Linked DNA regions of Cricetulus griseus. The protein of the gene in region 2 purifies or fractionates together with the protein of the main gene of each other region. This does not show direct contact. Links are inferred from orthologs where the notes say so. Each region holds a gene or a part of one and is shown on either strand. Other genes may lie near its edges.

What was found. The genes of interacting proteins can lie anywhere in the genome.
Region 1: the proteins of Rab4a (region 2) and Gdi2 purify together in Homo sapiens (co-immunoprecipitation; 3 studies listed by BioGRID and IntAct, with this or other methods). This does not show direct contact. The link is inferred for Cricetulus griseus from reciprocal best matches to the Homo sapiens genes RAB4A and GDI2.

The regions. Positions count from the first base shown.
Region 1 is NC_048596.1:228,628,458-228,634,315, reverse strand, and holds part of Gdi2 (rab GDP dissociation inhibitor beta), read right to left. Parts: intron 4,760-5,858; coding exon 4,660-4,759; intron 2,357-4,659; coding exon 2,222-2,356; intron 1,076-2,221; coding exon 877-1,075; intron 430-876; coding exon 298-429; intron 1-297. UniProt on the Homo sapiens protein: GDP-dissociation inhibitor preventing the GDP to GTP exchange of most Rab proteins. By keeping these small GTPases in their inactive GDP-bound form regulates intracellular membrane trafficking.
Region 2 is NC_048596.1:200,485,885-200,492,313, reverse strand, and holds the start of Rab4a (ras-related protein Rab-4A), read right to left. Parts: upstream 4,331-6,429; 5' UTR 4,033-4,330; coding exon of another isoform or gene 4,002-4,032; intron 3,168-4,001; 5' UTR 3,148-3,167; coding exon 3,099-3,147; intron 1-3,098. UniProt on the Homo sapiens protein: The small GTPases Rab are key regulators of intracellular membrane trafficking, from the formation of transport vesicles to their fusion with membranes.

The DNA.
Region 1 (5,858 bases), about 28 Mb from region 2:
AGATAGATAGATAGATAAATAAACACACACACACATGTATGTATGTATGTATGTATGTATGTATGTTCAATCAAGGCCAGCCTGGTCTATAGAGCGAGTTCCAGCACAGCCAATGCTACACAGAGAAACCCTGTCTCGAAACACCAAAATAGTAATAATAAAGATAATGATTTTAATATAAAAAACATAAAACAAATAAATAGCATCTCACTATTCAGAGACACTTTTCACTTACAGTAGGCAGGATGAAGTCTAAGATCAGCAGGGTTACAGCTAACGGGTTAAACAGGCACTCACCTTGCAAATCCTTGTGGCAATTCTCCAAGGCCATAGAGGGGATAAAGGTATGGGCTTTTACCATATCTTGCCAAAGATTCGCTGTAAAGTTTAATTCTATTAATGGTATCACAACACGGCTGATCTAAGTAGCTGGGAAGAATTAAAACAACATTAGAAAAAGACTACTTCTTGTTTATTTTAAACTCTTTTTCTGAAGCGATTTCAAACTACTACCCTCTCATTTCTCTTAAAAGGCCCTAACACTAATATGCTACTAGAATCTCTTTCACCGGGCCACACAACAACCTACAAACCCTATGTCTACCATTTGGAAAATGAGAGAGAGATTCAGTTCAATGTTTTTAAAAAAACTGTAAATCTGAAAACCAAAAGTTTCTGATTGGAACCCTCTCTCTCTACTGTTGATACTCTCTTCAAATAAGCTGACTAGAAATTGAAGTGTTTGGAACTGTCTATGATATGGATTAGGGAACTGCAAAGTTGCCTAAATCCAACTTCAGTACAACAGACCTGTCACTGCTGGCAAACATCTCACAGCCTGTGCAGAGCCACCAATGGATTCATTAGTCTACTTACTCATCTGTTCTGTACAGTGCAAGAGAATGGCCAGTGAAGTCTACAACATCTTGGCCCAAATCAAACTTCTTATACAAATCTCTCATGGAGGTCTTCTTAGGGTCAATGCCCTCAAAAGTTCTAGGATCTTTTTCATCAAAGTTGGCGACATAAACTAGGAACTTCCTGAAGCGGCGTTTTTCAAACAGTCCCATTAAACCTGAAAAAATATTTTTTCAAAAAGCACATACTCACAATAGGACACTGACACTTTAAACATCAATTTCATGACTCAACAAATATAATTAATATAACAGGGGATCTAGATAACATGGTTCCCAGGGGCACAACACTTTAAAACACATCACCCATAAAGTCTTCAATTTTACCCCAAAACTTCAGGTACAGAGTACATATTTAGAGAAGCTGAAAGTTTGAAAACATTGTTCCAAAGGCATCTATACTGTTATTTTTCCTCTAACAATGCACATCTGTAACTCAGCCAGTTCCCAAAATTATGAATGCTGCTCCTTTCCCCTCTTTCGGCTGTAAGACACACTCTTAGACCTAATGGGAAAAGACACTGAAGACACCATGAAGAATTAACAGCAACTACCTTTAGAAGCTGACCGCCCTGTGGGTCACTTACTTTAATGAAACTTAAACAATCGGTGAGCTGCTCTACACACTTTTAAAAAAACAGCTATAAGCAGGGCTGGAGAGATGGCTCATCAGTTAGGAGAGCTTGCTGCTCTTGCAGAGGACCTGAGTTAGGGTCCCAGCACCCATATCAGGCAAATAATCACACACAATAAAAATAAAATATCTTTAAAAGAAACACACTGAGCTGGGTGGTGGTGGCACACACCTTTAATCCCGGCACCAGGGAGGTAGAGGCAGGTGGATTTCATTGAGTTTGAGGCAAGTCTGGTCTGCAAAGTGAGTTCCAGGACAGCCAGAGCTGTTACACAGAGAAACCCTGTCTTGAACACCAAAAAAAAAAAAAAAAAAAAAAGGGGGGGGGAATACATGGGACATTACCTTGTCTAAAAATATTAAATTAATATTTAAAAAAAAGCTGAGAGAGAGAGAGAGAGAGAGAGAGAGAGAGAGAGAGAGAGAGAATTAAATCCCAAGCTCTCTTGAGTCAGTACTCCTACTAATAGCATATAGCTGGTACTAAGAAAAAGCTAAGAAAACTTCTAGTTTCACATCCTTTCCCCTCCTCTCCTAAACAGAACAGAACATTAAGAAGGGCCTAAATGAGTGTCTGGCACTATAACTATCTGTTGACTAGACAAATAGGTTTCTGGGACTCCTTTTCACCATAAAAATCGTGTCATTCTGATAAATGAGAATTACTTACTAGATGCCAGTGCTTCTGCTTCAGTGGAAGGAACCTTGTAGATTTTCCCTCCCTTGTAGACAAAGCTCCCTTCAATCACTTTGAAATCCATATAGCGAGTGACCTCTGTGTAAAGTAACATCTTCACCAACTGACCTGAAAAAGTCATGTAATGCAAGCTGTCACTCAAACCTTACTACCAATAAAACTTAGCACCCAAAATTTTCCTAAAGAATTGTATAGCAATCCTTACCAAGAAGCCCCCAAAGCTGTGTTTTCAATGGTATGACTAGAAATTCACACCTTAAGCATACGTTTAAGCTTAATGTTACAACTTGTAGGCTAACAAAGGCCATGAAATATGTACTGGTGAGTGAATTGAGGCAACCTTGCAGTTCTGTATCAGTCACAGACAATTCCAAATATTTCAATTTCTAAGTCTACTTATATTTATTAAGAGTATATCAACATCAAATAGATTAAGGACTACAATTAGGAATCCCATCTGCCTATAAGACCAAGGAGGCTCACTTACCCAAATCAGCCAAAAGTTTTGTGAGACCAAAACCATTTTAAAGATGATTTGAAAGGATAACTACAACAGGGTAGTCACATCATTTTTGAAGTTAGGGCTGGGGGACATAACTTAGTGTAAAAACATTTATCTAGCATGTGTGAGACCCTGTATTCAAACTCCAGAACAACAACAAAAAAAATTAAGGAAATAAAGTATAAAGAGATTCTCATGCAGCAGAGATTAAAGTACACTGAAAAATTACATCAACTGGCCCCATTATTAAGCCTTGTGACCTTAAAAGACCAACGAATGTTTTATAAAGAAAAACACATGCAATAGAATTGTGCAGCAAAGTCCCTGTCTACAAAGGCTGCCCCTGTGTCTTCAGAGAGGTGATATCTATAAGGAGTTCATTGCAAGGAGAACACAACTTAATAGAAAATAAGTCAATTCACCAATAAACAGGAAAGCTGGTCAATAACTAAAACTCATTCCACCCTCTAATGGACAGATTTATGGTAAAAATTCAAATTTTACCTTACAATGGCAAATGGCAGAAACAAAAATGAATACTATCAAGGGCTGGTTGATAACGGTACTGGGAAAGGCAAAAGCCAAATGTGGTAATAAACAGAAAAAGCCTTCTGAAAAAGATCCATAATTCTTGCCGGGCGCACGCCTTTAATCCCAGCACTCGGGAGGCAGAGGCAGGCGGATCTCTGTGAGTCCGAGGCCAGCCTGATCTACAGAGCGAGTGCCAGGATAGGCTCCAAAGCTACACAGAGAAACTCTGTCTCAAAAAACAAAAACAAACAAACAAACAAAAATCCATAATTCTCTCCTAAGGGTACCCAATGCTATCTGTCATCAGTCACACACACTCCTTTCCTCCCTCTTACACCCCCTACACATACATTATACACTGGCTGAAAACTGCATGGGAACTGGGACTATGCATATGTGTATCTCAAACATCAAAATGTTAAGCACAATTAAATCTAAGGTTTTATCCCTAGCACTGCAAAGAAAAAAAAAAAATCCAGATAGTGGGATTCTGACTATGCAAATTTTGTTTCCTTCCTGCTTACTGTTAATGTTGCCTAGACTATACAAACTTGGATAATTTACAAGAATTCAATTATTTAAATTTAAAAGAACATTCAAACAATGTATCTATAATACAAACTATAAAATGTAACTCAAAAAAAGAAAAAGAATAACACATACTATATTTCATGGGAAATAAATTTGTAACAAAAAATTTAGTTTTTCCTTTGTTTTCTATTTTTCCAGACAGAGCCTCACACTGTGAGACATGGATGACTTAAAGTTTACTTGTAGCACAGGAAAGTCTCACATTATCAGCAATCTTCCTGCCTCAGCTTTCTGAGTACTGGGATTACAGGTGTAAACCACTGCACCTGGCTCATTTTTTAATACCATCTTAGAAAAAAATAGACACCACAGAAATTTTAAGATAGTTCAGTCCTCTAAAATCCTGAGAAATTAGGTGATCTCAACAGCTTACACACTAGAAAGCCTTTAAAAGACCATTTAAGACTCAGGCTCCCAAAGTCTCTCGAAGGTACTTACAATGTTATTATATTTAGAATTTTTGTTTGTACTACACCACACCAGATTTGCAACAAATGTTTCTAACTGTGTGAAATGTCTATAGTTTCTTACATACATATATAATATATACTACAAAATCTTCAATTTTAACATGCACTGTGTCACATCATGCTTTTGTTTCTTTTCAGAGCTATTTTCTATACCTCCTTCCCTCCATTCTTAATTAGACTCCAGACACTTTTAATGAAACATATTACTAAACATACTATTGACATCAACCAATTCCCCAGGGCCTCAGACCTGGGATAATGTTCTCTACTTCCAACCCAGATTCCATACAGTCATAAATAATGCTAGCATTCTTTACCATTGGCCATAAGGAACTTGGGAATTAAGTCAACATTCCAGTCTCTTCCTCTCCCCATTGATGCTGGTGGTTGTCCTGGTAACTTAAATCTTTTGTATAACTAAAAGTAGAAAAAAAAATACCTATAATGTAACGAGAGGCTGAGGTATAATACAACTATAAGAGGTAAAACACAAATCATTTTATTTTTAATCAGATAAAACTTTTATCTGTCAAGTAAACTTTTAGTCAGATAAGACTTTCAAGTCTCAATATATTATGTAATTAAATACAGTATGTAACTCGTGAATGCTAAGATACACAAGCATTGCAGAAGTCTTTCCCACTAATTGTTGAATCTCATTCCCCCTAATTTTGCTTCTCTAGCTACACAAGTTAAAAAAAAATTATATACTTCAAATCTAGAAAAGATAGTTAAAACTAGTTCTTTCTAGCTTTTAGTTTTTAGGCTTTACTGAAATACAACTGATGATTAAAAATTGCACACACAATGTAAACACTTTGATAAGTGTGAACATAAGTTTACACCAAAGAATACTAAGCACACATTCACCTCCAACGAGTGCCTCCCAGCATGATACAGTATGAAATAATCAACAATTTCTTTCAAACTAGTAGCCTGTACTTCTCCAAAGGGAAAGGGAGAAGGGGAAAGGTAGTGAGACTTGTAGATTAAGAGAACAGAGAAGAAACACATACAACGCTCAAATCTTTAGTTAATTAAAAACTGATTTTAAAAACCAAAGTGTACTGAAGACCTAAATATCACTCTCTGAGTTACTGGAAATCTGAATATAATTTAAATATCGTTCATTTTCATAAATGTAGTGGCATTATGATGGCATAGAAAATGCCATCCTTAACAGATGGAAGCCGAAGTATTTAGGTCAAGTGCCACAATGTCTTTTTTACTTTCCACTTTTCAAAGCCATAAAAAAGCAAGATCTAGTGGTACATACCTATAATCCAGCACCCTGGAAGCTGAAGATTTATTAAGTAGAATATTTAATAAGCCAAAACTGCCAGGCATGGTGTTTCATACCCTTAATCCCAGTGCTCAAAAGTGTAGGGAGCTCTGTGAGCTTGAAGCCAGCCTGGTGTATATAGTGAGCTCCAGGATAGCCAGGGCTAGGTAGAGAAAGAGAGGCCCTGTCTCATCCCCCCCACCCCCCAACTAGCAATAATAATGAGCCAAAATT
Region 2 (6,429 bases):
AGAAAAAGAAAACCCCAACTTTGGCAGTCTTTTTTCTGATGTCTGCTTGAACTGTTTAAATGTTTTGTAATTTTGAGTTAAGGCAATGGTAATTCAGGTGATTTTCCAAACAGGAAATTAATTTTACTTTATAAATGAAGGGACTTTGAAAATGTTGCTCTTTTTAATTTGGCATATCCTCGACAATCCAAATTGCCTTATCAAGCCTACATTTCAAGATTCATCATGTAACAACTAAGTCCTGTGAGTTACCTTCCGAGGCTTTTACCTTAAAGTGTCCCAAGTCCACTGGCTTAATGTGGCAGATATTTGCTGTCAGAGCCAGAGGCTGCAGTGAGGTGTGGCAGCATTTGAGCTCCTGCAGGCTCAGGAAGGGGTGCTTCCTGTCTCTTCCTAGTTTCTGGTGGTTGGCAGCTATGCTGGGGGTACCTTGACTGGGTACTGGACCTCTCCAACCTGAGGCTCGCTGCCAAAGCCCACTCTCCTTGTGTATGTACAAACATGTATGTCCATATTTCTCTGGTCTCACTGGAACACAGTCACCAAGTTTGAGACATAAAACCCCAGCGTGACTCCACCTTCAATAATCACCAGCAAAGACCTTGTCCCAAATAAGGTCACATCCACAGGTCCAGAGCTAGGATGTATGTGTGACTTTGAGGACACAATTCAAACCTCATGCACACAAATGAGGATGCGCAGTTAGCAGAAAAACACCCTGATGATCTCAACCTTATCTGTTAGACACCAGAACGCTGTGTGTTATTTTCGAGGTGGAATATACTATGCTGAATATACTAGGACAGAAACCACCATGGGGCCAGCAACATGAGCAGAATTCTTATGTCTCAGGAGTTTCTCGCATAGCACCTGGCATAAATTGTAATGCACAGTCACCTGTCTCAAATTCTTCCTCCAGGTCAGTCTTCTCTGTCCTGGAGGTTTAAAAGCTCCCTGGCACTTTCCCACCACATACACTGCTTAGTAATTTCTGTGACTCACCATTGGGTGTCAGGAAGTACTTGAGGATAGCTTTCAAACTCTCAGGTCTCAGGCTGCCAACATGAATCCTTGGCCCCGATAATGCTCATTGAACGCATATAGCCATAGGATGCTGTGTCTCTAACAATAACTAGGAGAACCTCCCTTCGGGTTAGGGACATTCACTTTTGCTAGCTGGGACCAAAATGCCCAAGAGAACTGAAGGGAGGAGGGATTTGTTTGGCTTAGTTTCACAGGAGTCAGCCCATCGCAGCTGGGGATATGTGATGGGACAGTTGACATCAACAGAGGCCAGGAAGCAGAGAGAAGGGACTACAAGAAGAGGCAGGGGTGAAAAAGAGCTCCAAGGACATTCCTCCAGTTTCTTCCAGTCATGTCCTACCTCCAACCTCTTTGATCACCTGCCAATAATAACATCAGATAATGAATATATCAAGGGTTTAATTCATTGATTAGTCTGGAGCCTCTAGTATCTAATCATGTCTAGAAACCCACCACAGCCACACCCAGTAGTATACTTTACTAATATCCTAGTGTCTCAGTCTCATCAGGTGGACTAGGCTAACCACATTTCAAAAGTGAAAAGCCTACCTGTTTAACATTCCAATTTACATTATTACGTGATCTAAAGCACAGTGTTCGTGGAGTTAGGGACTTCAGATCAAGAAAGTGCTGACCACCACTCAGCCTGTGCAATGTGCCAGGACTGTTCTACAGGCCATTAGCAGCCAGCTCAATAGCAGTAGCCATAAACACTGGCTCCCATTTTTCATTGAATTTCCACCAAGCTGCACAGAACCTCCTTTCACGGAAGAGAGAAAACCAGCCTCAAACACACGGAACTTAAAGGTTAGGCAAACATTCCTATGCCAGCCAACAGGCAAAGGTCTGGAAGGAGAGGTCTTGGTTGTTTTAATTTGGGGAACAATACTGTGTAAACATAGTCAAGGATGAGTGAAGGTGACAGCCTCTGCCTTGGTTCTGGGTGACTATTCTTTTATGCCAGCAGCTTTAGAGACCACTCTTGCCTCTTTCTAAAGCTAAACTTCCACTTATTAGTTTCTATTTGCTTTTTGTTTGTTTCCTCCATTGAAAGGAAAGACTAAATTCAGACTTAGTTAAAAAGTAAAAACCTAGCCGGGCGTTGGTGGCGCACACCTTTAATCCCAGCACTCGGGAGGCAGAGGCAGGTGGATCTCTGTGAGTTCGAGACCAGCCTGGTCTACAAGAGCTAGTTCCAGGACAGCCTCCAAAGCCACAGAGAAACCCTGTCTCAAAAAACAAAAACAAAAAAACCCCCCAAAAAACAAAAGTAAAAACCAGGACATGGGGACACATGGATATTGTGGATATTGCTTCAAGTGTGGGGCCAGCCTGGGCTAAGTTGTCCAGAACTATATATAGAGAAACTGTCTCAAAATAAACAAAAATTAAAACTAAAGGCATATTTGGAAAATACCTTGAAATGAAGGAAAAGGTAAACACACCTGTAGCCCTGACAAAACCGATACCCATAGATAGTGTCTTAGGGTCAGACAAATGCCTCAGTGCCACAAGAGTGCTGGTGCCAGGAGACAGTGCACCAGGCTACTGTGTGCCTCATAATACCCTTCCCAGGGTCCCACCCTCTCAAAGTCCAAACCTCAAGGTTCTTTAACTGCCTACTCAAGTTAAGGTGCCCAAACCATGCTCCCAGACCAGATCCCCAGATCTGCCTGTCCACATGCCCCTCTCTGACCCATCTGGGTCAGCTCTTTCTCACACAGTTGGACAGACCAAGCTCTTTTGGAACTGCTGCCTGGATTTTAATTGTTCATCTATTAAGGTCACAACTGGATTAACAATCTATTCCTCACTGGACTGCAAACTCTTGGGGAAGTTTCCATAGCACTTTTACAATGATTAGAATCTCCCTGGCTGGACCCTGGCCCCACCCTGTGGCAGGAAAGTAGCAGGTTAACACATTGGGATAACACGAAATGATCACCATGCTTTTACATGGGAGTCCCTCCCTGTAACCAGCACATACCAAGTCAAAGTCTCAAGTCTCAGTTAGGGGCTGGCAACCATGCACACTACCAGTTGTTTATTCTTACCTCGACTGGGTGTGTGGGGGGAGGAGGGGCGGGACAATACCCAGCACATGCATTAGAAACGGCTGGGTGCTGTAGGAGAAACAAAGATGAAAAACACAGCTCCATATCCAAGGCTTATGGTCATAAAGAGGACATATGTTTATAAAAAGCTATAATGCAACCCAAACAGGGATGAGGGAGGGATGGAAAGATACACGAGGCTAGGGGGTCTCCAGAAAAGAGATGCACTCAACCATTTAAAACTCATTATAATCTCAATGCAAAGAAAGGAATTCCAAACCTTGAGGGGCCCACAGCCATGCCCCCAAAGACACTAAATGCAGGCGTGGCCGAGCCTTCATCCCTGCGCTCGGTGCTGCAGTGGGGAGGGGGAGAATCAGTGATAAACCGGCTCCCCCAACCTTGATCTATTTAAATAATCCAATGTAGGGTCAAAGCAGGAGGGAACTTGGAAGAGAGGATCACAATGCTTTGCACAGCTAGGAGCACCTACTGGCCAGAGAGTCCAACCCAGCTCCCGACACCCTCCACCCCCATCCTCAAGATTCCAGCCCAGCCTCAAACATCCAGGCGCTCTCAAGTTCTAGCCCGACCTTGACACTCCAAGAATCTCAGGATCCCAGCAGCTGACACCCCGGGATTCTCAGTATCTCCACCTGACCCCTGAGACCTAGATTCTCAGAATCCCAAGATTACTAGGATCCCAGCCCAGCCATAAACATCCCAAGATTCTCAGTATCTTCACCTGGCCCCTGACACCGCGAGGTTCTTAGGATCCCAGTCCAGTCCCAACATCTCGATATTCTAAACACCGGCTCTGGATACCCTAACCCCAGCCACAAACATTCCGGGATCCCAAGGCCTGCCCCCCTACACACATACCCACGAACCAGCGCGATTTACCGTAAGTCTCGGACATGGCGGTCTGCGCCATTCTGTCGCTACAGTTCCGCGTGGTCCGGTCAGTCCTCTGGTGTCCGCAGAGCGAGGGGGAACCGAGCGTGGAGGGCCGGGTACAGGCCCACTGCGAGCCGGCCACCGGCTGCGGCCCAGCGGGACTCGGCTCCGCGCCTGCGCACCGCCGCCCCGCTGAGGAGCCAGGCCGGGGTGGGGGGAGGCGGGGTCGCTGGAGGGAGGAGGAGCAGGGCTGGGGAAGGGGTGGAGGGACAGGGAGAGAACTGGTGAGAGGCTCCTACTCCAAGGAGGAGGTGAAGCGAAGGAAGATGAAGGAGGGGGACCAGGAAGGAAGGAGGGGCGGGGCTCGGGTGGGGTGCCTGCACCCGGTAGGTCCTCCCAGATGGCATTGCAACACAGACTCAGTCATCCTTAAGTATGACCTAGCAAGCCAGGGGTGGACCGGGGGCTTGCTTTGAAGGAAAACGGGGTGGGGGGAGGGGGTGGGGGGTGGGAGGTTGGTTCACCAGCTGAAAGCCAAGCTCTTACCCCAGGCAAGAGTAATTGGTCACCTGAACTCCCCGACTCAAGACTTTCAGGGAACTGTGCATTGGAGATTGGGGCACAATGTTGCCTGGCCCTTACTGCAGGCTAATTTCAAAGGTGTGTTCGGCTTAGGAAACAATGCAGGACAGAACCTGCTCCTATCCCAAAGAAAGGGGTCCGGGACAATTACTGAAAGGCAAACTGGGAATTTGGCCCACCTGAGCAAACCAGGCCCTAAGAGCCTACCTTCTTCACAGTAGCAACAGAGGCCTGAATGGTGGAGAAGGCCACTGTGTACCTTTTCATCCTAGGCCATCTGGCTCTGCCACGAATCTATCACCTGCTCCGTGCTGTCTGGTTCAATATTTCACTCTCGTGTTTTCTCACACAGGAAATTAGGAAAAGAGCCCTCATCCTGAAGACTTGTTGAAGCCTCTTGCTGGCACAGTACGCACAATTTGCAGTTGAGATTGCCTAGCAAGGTATCCCTTGTCTGTAATCTCAGCATTCGGGAGGCATAGGCTGGAGGATTGTTTTGAATTGGAGGGGAAACAAAGATAAAAGAGACACAGCTCAAAAAGAAATGAATAAGTTTTAAAAGTACAAAAATGATTGCTTACACAATTTTGAAATAGAGATATTTCATATAAGAAGTTAAGATAGCAATGAACTGTGCTTATGGCCCCAGTATGTGAGCTTTGAGCTTAGCTTAGTTTCTTTCCCAGATGTAAATCTGTACTATTTCTGAGGACCTCACAAACAAGATTACATTCAAAACACATGTCTTAGTTAGGCATGGTGGCACAGGCCTTTAATTCTAGAACCCAGGAAGCAGAATCAAGCAGATCTCTGAGTTTGAGTCCAGTCTGGTTCACAGAGTGAGTTCTAGGCAAGCCAGGGCTGCTTTGTGAGACTCTGTCTCAAAAACAAACAAACAAACAAAAATGTCTTAACTTTTATGACTTAATATAGTAAAGAATCTTTTGGCCCTTGTGACCTATGTTTTTATCTTGGCCTCTAATCCTATGAAGTGTACCTCAGAAACAACTCTATGACCTAATTTTTTAAAAAGAAAGGGAGGGCATCAAAATTGCCAAGTATGATATCGTGTTTGTAGTTCTATCCCTCAAGAAATGGAGGAAGGAATATTGAGAGTTCAAACCAGCCAATCTTAGCTACATGAGACCCTGTCCTGGTTGGTATTTTTTGTCAACTTGACATGAGCTGGTATCTGAGAAGAAGGCACCACAATTGAGAAAATTATTTCATAAAATTGGTCTGTAGGCAAGCTGGTGGGGCATTTTCTTGATTAGTGGCCCATCCCACTATGGTGCCACCACTGGGCAGGTAGCCTGAGTTCTATAAGAAAACAGGCTGAGCTAGGCATGAGGAACAAGCCAGTAAGCAGCACTCCTCCATGGCTTCTGCTTCAGTTCCTGCCTCCAGTTTCTACCTTAACTTTCTTTGATGACACACTTTGATGTGGAAGTATACTCTGAAATAAACATTTCCTCCTCAAGTTGCTTTTGGTTGTGGTGTTTTATCACAGTAATAGAAAGAAAACTCCAGCTAACCTGCCTCAAAAAACAAAAGCAAGGGCTGGGAGGTGAGCCATTTGGTAAGTGCTTGTCATACAAAGTATGAGGACCTGAGCTGAGATTCTCAGTGTAAAAAGCTGTAACCCTAACACTGGGAAGACAGTGACAGAGACCCACGGGGCCTACTGGTCAGCTATTCTTGTGAAATCAGTAACCTCCAGATTTAGAAATAAACTGTCAGAAAAGAAGGTAGTGATAGAGAAAGATACCCAATATCAACATCTGGCCTCTACATACATGTGCACAGACATACATGTCCACCTGTACACACATACACATACAACAAAACAAAA